Linked DNA regions of Lytechinus pictus. The protein of the gene in region 2 interacts with the protein of the main gene of each other region in a pairwise test. Links are inferred from orthologs where the notes say so. Each region holds a gene or a part of one and is shown on either strand. Other genes may lie near its edges.

What was found.
Region 1: the proteins of RNA helicase aquarius-like (region 2) and zinc finger protein 830-like interact in a two-hybrid assay, tested with the Homo sapiens proteins (2 studies listed by BioGRID and IntAct, with this or other methods). The link is inferred for Lytechinus pictus from reciprocal best matches to the Homo sapiens genes AQR and ZNF830.

What each region holds. Positions count from the first base shown.
Region 1 is NC_087247.1:42,395,456-42,403,449, forward strand, and holds the start of zinc finger protein 830-like, read left to right. Parts: upstream 1-4,826; 5' UTR 4,827-4,870; coding exon 4,871-4,977; intron 4,978-6,700; coding exon 6,701-6,800; intron 6,801-7,994.
Region 2 is NC_087251.1:14,776,840-14,784,842, forward strand, and holds the start of RNA helicase aquarius-like, read right to left. Parts: upstream 3,016-8,003; 5' UTR 3,014-3,015; coding exon 2,882-3,013; intron 2,298-2,881; coding exon 2,257-2,297; intron 1,390-2,256; coding exon 1,308-1,389; intron 1-1,307.

The DNA of each region.
Region 1 (7,994 bases), on a different chromosome or scaffold from region 2:
TGTCACATGATTAGAATGAGCAAAAAGAGATGTTTTGGGGTATATTTTCAGCGTCCAAAAGGGGAGAGTTGTTCATCTGTGACATCGTAGATCTTGGTCGCATTGCCAATTGGAGGATCTCCATAGCATTAGTGATCTTGACATTCAAATGCTCATAACTCTTCTATTGCTAGTCCTATTTTACTCAAAATTTTGTTGGTCTTATTCTTTGATTTTTCTGCTTTCACAAATGCTAACTAATTGCTCCAAGAGTTTCATTCTCCTTTAATAACTAGTATACCCAGTTGTTTATGAGGCGCCGAATGTACCAATATTATATAGAACAATTATTTGTTATATAATCATTATTTATTAAATAATAACTATTATTTATATATAATTTACATTTTATTTGTAAATAACTACTATTATATAAAATATCATTTCTAATTATTTATATATAATTCCAAGTAATACTTCATTATTTGTAAATAATAATAGTTCGACATTCCATTATTTATAAATAATGATTATTTGTTTTTCATTATTTATAAATAATGATTATTTGTTTTTCATTATTTATAAATAATGATTATTTGTTTTTCATTATTTATAAATAATGATAATTGGTTTTTCATTATTTATAAATAATGATTATTTGTTTTTCATTATTTACAAATAATGATTATTTGTTTTTCATTATTTATAAATAATGATTGTTTTTCATTATTTATAAATAATTTGTTGAGTTTTCTATTATTTATAAATAATGATTATTTGTTAAATAATGAAAACGTCTACTTCATTATTTATAAATAATTTTTTCGAGTGCACCATTATTCTCATTATTTATAAATAATCATTATTTAATGTTCGAGTTTTCCATTATTTATAAATAAAGATTATTTGTTAAATAATGAAATATCTACTTCATTATTTATAAATAATAATTTTGTTTCAATATCCCATTAATCATTATTTATAAACAATTTTTACAGTTTGCCATTATATACAAATAATCATTATTTATATACAAATAACCATTATTTATTAAATAATGCCATTATTTATTAAATAATGCCATTATTTATTAAATAATGCCATTATTTATTAAATAATGGAAAACTCGCTATAACATGCAAATGTGGGACCGCCCATGATATGAATATTCATGATGCGATTTCCTTTTTCGTGATTTTTCTTCACAAATTTTTGTCCATTTCCTCTTCATAATGACATTTCTTGAAGCAATTTTCTAGGGATATGGTCTGATTGTAATATTCTTCATTTTCTATATAACTTCGTCTTCGTAGAAATATCAAAAAGTGTAATTTTATACGATTTTTCCTACAGTTCACAATCCCCATAGGCGCGCGTGTACGGTAGGGACAACCGGTGAATCGACGGAGTGCTCTTCATCGAAATACTACGTTGGTTGGTCCCCGGAAGTGGCGGGCGGAATTTAGCCCGAATCCTCGATGGAAGTCGATCAAGTGCATATGAGCTGAGAGAGTGAAATATCAGTGTACTTGTACAGGCCCTTCTACTTTTTATAAATATTTCTTGTTGCTTTTTTTGTTAAGTTAATTTTTCCTGGTGTAGAGATAAGTTTCAGTTCTAATAATGCACTTCAAATACATTTTGGAGTGTCTGTTTGAGGCGTTTGGGGCGATTTCACCCTGGCCCCAAAATGCTCGCAACGACAATACGGGGGCATGATGACCCCTAAATTTTAAAAAACTTATTTTTCTATTGAAAATTATCACAAAATTCACCAAAAGTGTGCACGAAAGCCTTCGTATTTCACTTTTAAAACTCCAAAAGTGCCCAAATGACAAGCTTGGTCGCTTCGCTGTGTCGCTTTCAACTTGAGAACGTTTACGCGTCTGCTTCGATATCCCCCCCCCCCCTCCTCCGAAAGAAATTCTGTATACGGCCATGCTCTAAAGAGCCTGGCACATTGATTTATGTATACTTTCATTTTCATTATTTTTATCTCATTATCAACATGGCCTTACGCATAATTTTTTCCAGGGGGGCCGGGGCCGGAGCATGACGTACGCGCGTAAACTTTCTCATAAAAATCTTGAAAAAGCGAAGCGACCAAGCTTGTCATTTGAGCTTGGTCGCGTCGCTGTCTCGCTTTCAAGATTTTTTTGAGAAACTTTACGCGTGTCCTAGCTGCTCCCCCCCCCCCCCCCGGTAAAAATTCTGTGTAAGGCCATGATGATAATGTGATAAAAATAATGAAAATGAAAAGTACATATAAATCAATGTGCCATATGCTCTTTTGAGCATGGCCGTTCACAAAATTGTTTTCGGGGGGTGGGGGCAGACGCGCGTAAACGTTCTCAAGTTGAAAGCGAGACAGCGAAGCGACTAAGCTTGTCATTTGGGCTTGGTCCCGTGGCTGTCTCGCTTTCAAGATTTTTTTGAGAAAGTTTACGCGCGTCATGCTCCGGCCCCGGCCCCCCTGGAAAAAATTATGTTATACCGAGGTTGTTTTACCTGACTGCTAAGAAAGCACGAATGCCTGTGAGCAAGCAACCAGTGGACCAACGGCTTAAGGTCCTCTCCGAGGGACCTGGTAATGAGGATAAATGCCTTACCAAAGGGCACTAGCGCACCACTTGGGAATCGAACCCGGGTCACCGGAATCCGAAACCCCCGCTCTACCGACTGAGCTATCGCGCCTCCCTCATGCGTAAGGCCATGTTGATAATGAGATAAAAATAATGAAAATGAAAGTATACATAAATCAATGTGCCAGGCTCTTTAGAGAATGGCCGTATACAGAATTTCTTTCGGAGGAGGGGGGGGGGGATATATCGAAGCAGACGCGTAAACGTTCTCAAGTTGAAAGCGACACAGCGAAGCGACCAAGCTTGTCATTTGGGCACTTTTTGGAGTTTTAAAAGTGAAATACGAAGGCTTTCGTGCACACTTTTGGTGAATTTTGTGATAATTTTCAATAGAAAAATAAGTTTTTTTAAATTTAGGGGTCATCATGCCCCCGTATTGTCGTTGCGAGCATTTTGGGGCCAGGGTGAAATCGCCCCAAACGCCTCAAACAGACACTCCAAAATGTATTTGAAGTGCATTATTAGAACTGAAACTTATCTCTACACCAGGAAAAATTAACTTAACAAAAAAAGCAACAAGAAATATTTATAAAAAGTAGAAGGGCCTGTACAAGTACACTGATATTTCACTCTCTCAGCTCATATGCACTTGATCGACTTCCATCGAGGATTCGGGCTAAATTCCGCCCGCCACTTCCGGGGACCAACCAACGTAGTATTTCGATGAAGAGCACTCCGTCGATTCACCGGTTGTCCCTACCGTACACGCGCGCCTATGGGGATTGTGAACTGTAGGAAAAATCGTATAAAATTACACTTTTTGATATTTCTACGAAGACGAAGTTATATAGAAAATGAAGAATATTACAATCAGACCATATCCCTAGAAAATTGCTTCAAGAAATGTCATTATGAAGAGGAAATGGACAAAAATTTGTGAAGAAAAATCACGAAAAAGGAAATCACATCATGAATATTCATATCATGGGCGGTCCCACATTTGCATGTTATATAGCGAGTTTTCCATTATTTAATAAATAATGGCATTATTTAATAAATAATGGCATTATTTAATAAATAATGGCATTATTTAATAAATAATGGTTATTTGTATATAAATAATGATTATTTGTATATAATGGCAAACTGTAAAAATTGTTTATAAATAATGATTAATGGGATATTGAAACAAAATTATTATTTATAAATAATGAAGTAGATATTTCATTATTTAACAAATAATCTTTATTTATAAATAATGGAAAACTCGAACATTAAATAATGATTATTTATAAATAATGAGAATAATGGTGCACTCGAAAAAATTATTTATAAATAATGAAGTAGACGTTTTCATTATTTAACAAATAATCATTATTTATAAATAATAGAAAACTCAACAAATTATTTATAAATAATGAAAAACAAATAATCATTATTTATAAATAATGAAAAACAAATAATCATTATTTGTAAATAATGAAAAACAAATAATCATTATTTATAAATAATGAAAAACCAATTATCATTATTTATAAATAATGAAAAACAAATAATCATTATTTATAAATAATGAAAAACAAATAATCATTATTTATAAATAATGAAAAACAAATAATCATTATTTATAAATAATGGAATGTCGAACTATTATTATTTACAAATAATGAAGTATTACTTGGAATTATATATAAATAATTAGAAATGATATTTTATATAATAGTAGTTATTTACAAATAAAATGTAAATTATATATAAATAATAGTTATTATTTAATAAATAATGATTATATAACAAATAATTGTTCTATATAATATTGGTACATTCGGCGCCTCATAGTTGTTGTGTGTCCGGACGATCAATTTTAGAAAGTCATTTGGAACAATTTACAAGGGAAGTTTTATCAATTTTTAGTACAAAATGTCAGGAAATATTATAAAGAACCAAATAGAAGATGATTACAACTATTGATTTCGTATTTTTAGTGTAATCCAAAGACAAAAAAGAAGGCTTCAAAAATATAAAGTGTCCGGACACCCGACCCCCCATCCTACTAACGTAAAATAATATGCTTTGATCCAATTGATCCTTATACAAAAAATCCAAAGTTAGCCTTACAGGGGCCGCTGAACGGGGAGTGGGAAAATAGCATTTTACAGTACGAGAGCAGCCATGTACAGAAATGTGAAAATTGAACACCAAATTTTGTGTATTAACCCCCTGCTAGCTCTCTCCGCATATTTTTTCCTCCGTTCTAACTTTGGACTTATGCTGGCGCCCTTGACGTTACCGCACCGTTCGTAGACAAAATGGCAGCCTCCAGTGGGAAAAAGAAGGTAGATCTTCGGGAGTTAATGAGACAGCAAAAGGCTGCAAAGCAAAGCAGTGTCAAGAGAATTGAATCACCATTAGCAAAATATCCTTTAAAATAGTATTTCAGGCAAGAAATTAATAAATTCGGCCATTGTCAGAGCTAAAGCCTCGAGTTATTTTACTGTCTTGAATTATTGTAGTCCCATGTTATTAAGTTTACGTTGGTCATTTGATTGGCGTTTACTCAAAACGGTTTAGGTAGGGACACTCACACGTATTGCGAGGTTAGTATTACTATTAGTATAGGTAGGGAGTTCGGTGATTTTTTTAAAATCTTGAAGAATCCCAACAAATTTGATATCATTGGAAAGCTTGTGAAATAAGAAAAATAATGGTGCTTCATTTAACTCATTGTCTGATATATTGACGGAGATATTCCAATTTACAGGGGAAAATATGCAGATTTTGTTCTGTCAAATTTTTTTTAAAGGCTTGTTTGAGTGGGGGAGACAGTTGCTTTTTGAAATCTTGAAGGAATCCCAACAAATTTGGTACCAATGGAATGCTTGTGAAATAAGAAAAAGAATGGTGCATAAATCGACTCATGATGACAAATATTGACAGAGATATTTCTGTTTAAACGGTAGAATGTGCAGATTTTATTTACAGCAAAAAGTAGATTTTCATAACTTACACAAAATGCAATGAATGGGACTGTGCAATACTTTTTTAAAAAGTGCAATGCGCTGCTTTGCGGGGCAAGGCATTCCCTTGAATTATACATCATTTTATTCATTAAACTTCAAAGTTTCTCATGGTATAGGTTTCTATAGGGTTTTTCCTCCTCCTTTAAATTTAATGGCTTCATATTTGTTTTGTACATGGGTGCACAGACAGATACAAATTCTGAAAGTGGCATTTTCACCGAACTCCCTAGTTTAGGTTTGACTATTAATATTAGTTTAGGGTCTAGTATTAGTCTTAACTTGGTGAATTCGCTGCTATTTTTGTTTTACTCGAGAAAGGCATGCATCGTATTGCCAAATTCCTTGTTGTGTTCAGCTGCCATAAAATTTAAATCGGCCAGTGCAACTCAAGGCTAAGCAAATATTTATTTACTTAGTCTTAGCCCAGCCCGGCCCAGTCTCTTTTTATTATTATTTTACTGTCCGAATAATCTAGAGAAAGTTTCTATCTGATACCTGTCTGGTCAAAACACAAAAATTTAGATCCTCTAAATCTATTTTCTTTTGTATAAATTCACAATTGATCAGCTTTATGAAACCCCTACCCAGGTCTAGTTGATCTTGATGGATGGATAAAATGATAGAGTAGTAAATGTAAATATTGTTGGTCATGTTACTTAGTCTTAGTGCAAAGAAAGTTGCAAAATTTAGTTTTATTTCAAATTAATAATTTAAAAGTTAGGAACAGTTACTCCTGCAAGTTTTCATCACGTTTACTAGGGACCATGATATTGTGATATAATTTGGGGTATTATAAGAGATGATAGTTATGGGATGATCAAAATAATATTATCATTGTCAATGAATATGACAGAAATAGAAGAAAGATCTTGGCAATTACAATTTCGATTTATGGAATTACATCCAGGCATTCACTAAGACACAATTCAGGGGATCCAGTTGTAAAATTATTGTGAAAAATCAATGTTTTGAACAGACTACAGAGTTGCAGTTGTAATGCTATTTTGTGATTGAAATGGTCATAGCTTGCGAGTTTTTGTTTATTTTGTTCTGGATATCTGATAAAGGTCAAACTTAATGTTTTGTTAAGAACTAAATAATTCCTTAACACTGACATACGTATAACAACCTTGGTCAGTTAATCTGTGTAGTTTGTAATCAGCAGGTGAAGAATGAAATACTGTGGACAGCTCATATTCAAGGAAAGAAACATAAAGATGTAAGTAATATATATTCTACATAATTTGTATTTCTCCACCTCCTTTTTCTTCCCCATCTCCTTTCTATTTTGTATCATCACCTTCACTATTTTTTCTTGATTATAATTACAAATAATTTGTTTTTTCACCCCATGACAGGATTATTCATCATTCTCTCTTTTTTTTTTACTTGAGGCTTTTCATGATTCATTAGTCAAGAAACAATTCCTCTTTTATATGCATAAAGTTTCATGAACATAGTTGCAGTCAGTGTGCTCTTTAATATAAGTTCAAACTGATTCCTTTTTGTCTCACCTGCATAGCAGTGTGAGACTATAGGCACCACTTTTTTTATGGCGACGGCGTCAACACCAAAACTTAACCAAAGGTTAAGTTCTTGTTATGACAGCATAACTTAGAAAGTATATGGACCTAGTTCATGGAACTTAGACATAAGGCTGATCAAATATTACTGAACATTTGCCAGAGTTTTAAGTCACATGACCAAGGTCAAACGTCATTTAGGGTCAATGAACTTTAGCCAAGTTGGGGTTATCTGTTGAATTACCATCTTATCTTTTATAGTTTATGGATCTGATTCATGAAACTTGGACATAAGAGTAATCAAGTGTCACTGAATATCATGTGTGAGTTTCAGTTCACATGATCAAGGTCAAAGGTCATTTAAGGTCATTGAACTGTGGCCAAGTTGGGGGGTATTTGCTGAATTACCATCATAACTGAAAGTTTATGGATCTGATTCATGAAACTTGGACATAAGAGTAATCAAGTATCACTGAACATCCTGTGCGGGTTTCAGGTCACATGACTAAGGTCAAAGGTCAATGAACTTTGGCCATGTTGAGGGTATCTGTTGAATTACCATCATAACTTTGAAAGTTTATGGATCTGATTCATGAAACTTGGACATAAAGAGTAATCAATTATCACTGAACATCCTGTGCGAGTTTCAGGTCACATGACCAAGGTCAAAGGTCAATGAACTTTGGCCATGTTGGGGGTACGTGTTGAATTACCATCATAACTCCAAAAGTGTATGGATCTAGTCCATAAAACTTGGACATAGAGTAATCAAATATCACTGAACATCTCATGCGAGTTTCGGGGCACATGACCAAAGCCAAATGTCATTTAAAGTCAATGAACTTTGGCCACTTTGGAGGTAATTATTATATTACTGCCATGACTAAGTC
Region 2 (8,003 bases):
CCCACGGATGGGAGTTTTGGGTAGCAAAACACATTAAGAAACAACATTTGATAGTAACTGACAGCTGTCTAAACCATCAAAAAAAATTCTGATAGATTAAATGCACATTAGAGAGAATTCATGAATTGTCATTGACTAAATATACACTTCAGGCAACACAGTAGATTTTTTAAATAATTTATAAAAGAATGCATTCAACATGAAAATACCTTTAATTGGCCAGAGAGGGAAGGGGCTGCAGTAGTGGTAAACATGGTAAATGAGCTTTATATGTGGACTGTTTAAAGTCTCTGAGGGATTCCTGTGAAAATTGTCACACAGTCCCATTCCGCTTGAAAATTATCTTTATACTTCAAAACGTATTTTGTCGTCTTGGTCTTGGATGACTCCATCTCCATGATCTCCATGGTCACTGGCGATGCGATTGTAGTGTGGATAAATCGGGGCGGGGCGTGCTTCGCACAGCTCAGCCAGCCAGCACCAAGCTAGCTCACTCACGAAAGAGAAAATGTTCGTATCCGATCAACCCAAGTGAAAGTAGGCGAAAAAATCTCCACTTTGCTTCTGGTTCTTTAGGATTGTCAATAAAATTTTTCCTGAAACTGAAAGTCGGGGTGTAAAAGTAATCCACTTGTTAATCCCATCGTTGATCCACAGTTTCAGCTCGAATAAAGCGCACACAAGCTTACGAAAAATGCCTCTCAGTGCTCGTGAACTTCCCTTATCGTAGCTTCCTGGCGCAGCGCGGCCAGCTGGAGCCGCACCGGGGCGCATCGGGGGCCATGTGCATGGAGTACCGCTGAAGTGTTTTCATCACACACATTGCAGAACCCGGAAATAAAATGGCTTGTTAGAATACTTCACCAGTCGTTCAGTAAAATTATCTTCATTTACATTGGAAATCAATGTACGATTATACAAAAACTGGTAAAAGTTACTGGGTAAAATGAAAATGTGATAAGGAGGTTCCATGTGGGTGTTAGGGAGTTGAACATGCTAGACTCGTAAAACAGTCTTTTGTATGAATTTCGCAATTTAACAGCTAAAAATCCTGATTATCCAGGAGATTTTGGCATGAGGTCGGGAGAACGGGAGATTGGATCGCAATCCAGTATTCTCCCGCAGGATCCGGGAGACTTGGAAGCTCTGTAGTATGTACAACAATTCATTTTAGAGTTTTAATAAACCATTATTTGTGTAGAAAGGCCTTTAACGTATATTTGACACATCTCGGCAAGTAAAAAAAAATTCACACAGCATACTATTATTGTAAAAACAAGTTTTCATTTCCATCAATTGTGTCTTACCTTTTCAGAGTCATAGTTTGGCCATAAGTAGTTTTCAAGATATTGGCTGAACTCGAGCACCATGATACGACGCGCAGCAAACCTGCATGTAAACAAATGTTTAAACCATTAGAATTGTGCAAAGAAAATTGAGGGGGTACAAATAAATTGAGCATTCTACATCACACAGGTGACAACTTGTTTTTTATTGATCACACCTTTATAATTTTCTTATCATCTTCTAATTATTTTTATGTATATTCAATCAAACTCAGACGTCTCTTTAACACAACCAATACATGAGTAAGGTAAACCTTAAACACTACTTTTTTCACATCATTTGTTTTAAATGAGATTCAATTAAATTCATTTTATTTATTACATATATTGCAATTTCAAAACATATAACATTAAACACAGGTGGCAATTCAAGAAACTTGAGCGTTTTGAAGGTTCTCTCATACTGAAACAAAATAACATAACAAATAAAAAATACAAATTATACAAAGAACAAAATGATAGTAGACTAAGAAACAAATTAAAATTTAAAAAAATAACATGTACAAGAAACAGAAAGTGCATATATTAACAGAATAGGCAAGAAATTTTGAATATGCATTTTATAGTCAGTGTCAAAGGAATTACAGTTTTTATTTCAGTGCTTGGACAAGTGAAGTGGTAATTGGTTAAGACTTTTAACAATACTGAAAATAACAAAGATAATCAAAATTTTAATGGAACATTTTTTTCCAATTTGGGGCATTACAAGAAACTTTTAAATTGCAATCAATTGCAAGTGAAATCAGAAAAAAATCCATTTAAAATCTCAAAATCTATTATAAATCATGCAATCATTTACAATTATGTAATTGACTGCTTGTCTCCTTCATCCCTAAAATGCTATCATATCGCTTGTATCGCATTCTATTAACCTTTTAACAAAATTCCCTTAGTGTCATTTTGATCTTACTTGTTCTTCAAGAGTTCTTTCTTGTAAACATCTTCAATCACCTAGTGAATAAAAGAAAAGAATACATACATCTTGACATTTAAAATCAGAAGCATTTTCTTAAACATTTTGAAGGGTTTTCAAAGATATTCATTTTGCGAGAAGGGTTTGAAATTATTACAATATGAATGGAAAATTACAAAAATGGCATAAAAAGACTGTCCATACTGTCATTTATTTTACGTGAATAAAATAATCTTCAAGCACAAATAATATCTGAATCATTTAAGTATGAATACTCTTGCTGCTTTCAACTTATAAACAAACAGAACACCAATGATAGTCATTATGAGTTCATTTATTTACCTCTGTTTCTTCTCCTTTGTATGAATGTCCACTTCTTATAGGTAGGAATAATAGATTTCACTTGTTGTCTTCAGTTTACATCTCTTTATTAAAATCCAGTACCTTAATTTAGTTTATAATCTCAGGGAATGGGTGGTAAGAACCAATAAAATGTATCATACATCATTCCTGATTCATACACATTCTGGTACAATGGATTATTTTTATCAAAACAAAATGAAGAAGAGTTCTGCACAGCAATCATCTACTATTTTGGATTTATTTATCTCCATATGCCTACCTTTGGATCATAGGCCAAGTGTGGTGTAGGACTATTTGGAGCCCAAAATCGACTGCCAAGCTGTGTCAAAAAGTCTGCATTAAGCTGCTCCACTGTAGGAGCATAACTCTTCCTTTTCTGACTGCCACTCATCTGTAAAATACAATCAATACAGAAAAATAGGTAAAAAGTGAGTACATAAATTGTTTTTAATAACATTTAATATTGTTGGCAATTCTAGCCCATTATTCAAACCTTTAGTTTCATTCCACTAACCTCATTTTCCCCTCATTTTCAAAAATATTTTAAATGTTAGACACACAAGCCTTCATAAATTATATTGCCTGTTCTATACACACAAAAAAAAAGTCCCCCCTAAATCAAAATGCTATAACTTTTGAACAGAATAATTTTTGAGATATAATATTTCGTAGGTGGTTTTTAACACTCACTAAGCAACTCCTGGGGGAAAATGAGATTGATCGGTTGGGTCATACACGAGTAATCAAAGATTGAATTAAAAATGACAATTTTTTAAAGTCACAAGAGTCGTTTTTCAGATAGTGTTAATACAAAGTTGGGCAAAGGTTGTTTTTTGTGAATTTTATGGTGTTAACGTTGTTTTACTATCCATCATTTAGCCACTCCACACAAAATTTTGATAATGTATGTTCATGGTTGAGTGAGCACATTTTTTTTTCTCATAGGGGTTTATGGTAGTATCCTATGTAACTTGTTAAAACATGTTAAAATTGGAAAATGTAAGTGGCTCCCCTCCCCCAATTTCTCGGCACCTCCCCACTTTCAACTTCTGGATCCACCACTGATTGGTCTATAAATTCAAATGATCCTGAGAAATTGTTAGGAAAAGAATACATTTATGCAGTAAAAAGAGTATTAATTCCTAAGTTTTTGAGTGTGCTCGCTCAACCATGACAGTGTAAAATGTTCGGAAAGTGTGTGGTGATAAAAACAACACAAATTAAGTTACATTTGAAACCGAATTTGCCCCCATTATTCACTTTATAACCCCTCAAAATGTGTATGTGACATTAAAATAATGTCGCACCAACGCATAATGTCACAGATTGCGACTTTATGCCAAGAGCGTCCGACGCATGTCGCAGTCAACGCATAATGTCGTAGTTTTTCTAACGCATAACGTCACATGTCGCAACGCATAATGTCGCAGCAAAGTGTCAACGCATAATGTCACATGTCGCAACGCATAATGTCGCAGCGGTTTTTGCTTCAGGACCGTCGAGTTACAGATAAGATATAAAATATGATTTAACTCAGTATATTATTCAAATACTTTCATCTGAATATTTTGAAAAGTGTGTGCGAGGGTGTGTGAGTCAGTGTGGTGGAGGAATAAACAGTATATATACATGTATATATACAGTGCGTCCCACAAAAAACGAAACCGAGATTTATCATAACTTAATCACAAATACAATAGACAAATGACCTACCATTGTAAAGCTTAGAATCTCCTCTTTCATCTGGAATTACTTAGATTATTTCTCATTCACAAATGAGTGAGCAAAAACAATTTGAAGAGGGGATACCTAAAAGTCATTTGGCGGGCTGTATCTGGGTTTCAAAACGAAAACCCCATTTTTAAAAAGTTCAATATCTGCTCTTTAATTTGATACCTCTATTACAGAAAATGGTCAAGAAATAACAAAGTTCTGGTTATTTGAAATAAGGCTTGAATTTCAATAATTTCATAAAATGAAGAGGTTTTACAGGCTAGCGTTCAAACTCACTCGACACTCCGTTTTGTTGACGATCAGCCATGCATTAAGTCTTTTGTTAACCATGCGATAGCTTCTGTGGGGAAACCGGTGAAAACACGTTTATCTAATGAAATTATGGAAATACAAGCATAGTTTCGAGGGAACATAACTTTTTTACTTCTCGACCAACCAAAAAATTACTTTTTTTCTTTCCAGGGCTCTTTTTGGAGAAACTTAAAAATTTTCCAGGGCTACTTTTTTATTTTCCAGGGCTCTTTTTCCACTTTCCAGGGCTACAATTTCTGGAGCTATTTCGCGGCTTTTTTGCGTTTGTGTGTGTGTGTGTGTCTGTGTGTGTGTGTGTGTGTGTGTCACATTGAAGGGATGCTGGTCAGCAGTGCAGGGCTGCTCTGCTGCAGGCTCTGCTTTAACAAGATGTACTGTACATGCGGTGCGTTCAACGCTAGCGGGCGTGTATATTTTGCTTATTACATGACGTCATCCAGCCACTGCCGAGAGCCAATTTATGAATGAAAATATAGTAAGCATGCGCAGTGCAAGCCTTCCATAGCCCCACACAGTATTCCACCAAAACAAGTGTACAATACTCTATCACCTCGCACCAAAATCGACCTAGAATTTCACTTTCCTATAATTTATATGAATTATGAAAGGTATTCTCGGAGGATCTATTTTCTCACCGATACCGAACAGGTAAGCGAATTTCGATTACTTCTTGATTTTCGGTCAAAATCTTACGAATTAGCGTTGATATAGCATCGTGGAGTTTGTAGAGTCTATCGCAACGTGTACAAAGTCAATTGATTTCCGGGTTTCGGATCCGGAGCGTCGCGTGAATATGCATGAAATTGCCGAGTCTCGATAATTTTCGATCGATACTGGAGCGATCCGATCACGAACCAAGACCATTTCCCGCGTAGACAATGTGACCGGATATCGTTATCGCTATCGATACTTTCGCACGCAGTCCGAAGGAATTATTTTGGCGACCACGTAGTCATGACGTGATCTGCGCGATTGGCCAATCAGCGGTCTCCGATTCGCTGAGCCGAGACGGTCTATTCGTTGTACACAGTCTATGGACAATTTGCCACTGTGAAATATACAGTGTTGACGGGGGCGATTATGAGTTTTGCAGTCGCCCTCGTGTGAATGTTTTTAGTCCTTTTCTGGGGCTCTTTTTGGACTTTCCGGGGCGAATTCGCCCGCCGCCCCCGTGTAATTTTTTGGTTGTTCTCGACCATTTTTTGTGATAAAGGTATCAAATAAAAGAGCAGATATTGAACTTTTTTAGGCATGTGAATTTCTTTTTGAAATTCAGATACCCCCCGCCAAATGACTTTTTGGTATCCTTTCTTCAAATTGTTTTTGCTCACTCATGCGTAAATGAGGAATAATCAAAGTAATATCAGATGAAAAAGGAGATTGTCACTTGGTCTAATTCACATTGCCACTTCCCCCCATCCATTTTAAGGAGGGGGCGAAAAAGTATTTTAAAAAACAGAATGAGAAAATAAGACGAATGACTACGAACAAAGTATTAAAAAAATACATGATTTGATGGCTTTGTCACTTTTGGAATCCCCCAAACACCTTGGCCTCATTCCTCAAATATTTCATATCCTATAACAACATCAGTCTTGGACCTGAACCCTATCTACCCCCCCCCCCCCCCCCGAGCCTTTTTTTTTTTTTTATATCAAGGAGTTTGAAAATAGCAAAGAAGCAAGAAAAAAAAACAGAAGCAAAACAAAACAATACAAACCCCCTTCCAACCCAATGGCATGTGTCCCCCTACCCTCTACCCCTCACCATAACCCCCCCCCTCCCATGCCCTTCGTTGTCACAACTCTCCGTTCTACTCGTGTGGGGGAGGAAGTAACTTGTTCCTTCCTTCTATGAATGGTAAGAATGAAAAAATATATATATATATGTACATATATATATTTATGAAATATACTCTTATACCTTATAGCATTCATTAAAAAAAATTATTATTGTTATTATTATAAACAAATATCATTTATTTCATTTATTTTTTATTCTTATTTTATTTTTGCACTTATTTATCAATTATTTATTATTTTTTCTTTATTTATTAATTTATTTATTTCATTAATAAATTAATTAATTTATTTATTTTTTATTATTTTTCTTGCACAGTAGATTTATCAGACAGGCCTTTTCAGTCACTTTTATACCCATTTTGTTCCAAAAGCACGCAATCTAAATGTTTGCGCTCACTTTGCTCGCTCGCAAGTTCACTAAATATTTAGCGAGGAACACATTTCCCATTATTTCTGAGCATTCATCAGAAGGAAATACATAAATAATCGAGATATGCTTGAAAGGATTATATTTTACTTCTCAAAACATAATGAATCTTTATATTTGGGGTGCCCCCCAAACCCCAATTAAAGCCCTATTGGTATCACACTACCACATCCACGTGCGTACTCATTATGGAACCGGATTTACGTCACTGAGAAATGATTGCACAAGTACTCAAAGGAATTCGAAGATGGAGGCGGTCAAAGCTTTTTGCTCATAGTGACGATACGTAACATATTTTCTTCAGACTAATCATCCCTCAAAAGGTAAGAGTTTGTAAACTATTCTTATTGTGAATCTTTGTTACATTCAATACTGAATTCTTGCACTGTCATTCTTCTGTCATGTTGAATTTGCTCTTCTATATCACCTACACACAGTTTCTTTTTAGTCCAGGCCTTTGCACTAGACCTAGTATTGGATTAACGAAGATATCCCAGGGGGGCATTGCCATTACACCAATGACAGCATGCTTTGTACGACCTGTCCATATAGTAATAATGACACTAGAGGGCGTACTCTTACGATTGATGTTGGGAAAGTCAATGGGAGGTGCCATGGCTGGGTCTAACCCACACGGCGAATCACTCTAAAGTCCGGGTACGATCTACTGTCATGGCATTAAAAAAAAGGAATCAATGTCCTTTTATCATACACTGAAATAAATGAAAATGCTATAGGCATTATCAGTTACAACATGTGCACGTGTTTGTTTTTAAATCGTGTGTGAACGTGCGAGTGTCATGTGGAGAGTGTTTTATGAAAGGACATGTCAGAGGTTTTATCCAACAAGTCCGGAATTATTTGACAGTAACCAATGTAACTGTTGCTCACTGCCAATCTGAAAATGTTGATGAAACGCTCCCCCAGATAGATGGAAGTCCGGGAAAGGAAAATTTTACTCTATTTATTTAGATAACAATATTTTCGGCACGGAGCATCCTTTCAAGGATAAATTCACACTGACGAAATTTTTCTTGTAAGATAGTATTAAACAAAGATAATGTTAATGATAAATACTGGGGAAGGTTTGATAATTCATCAAATAT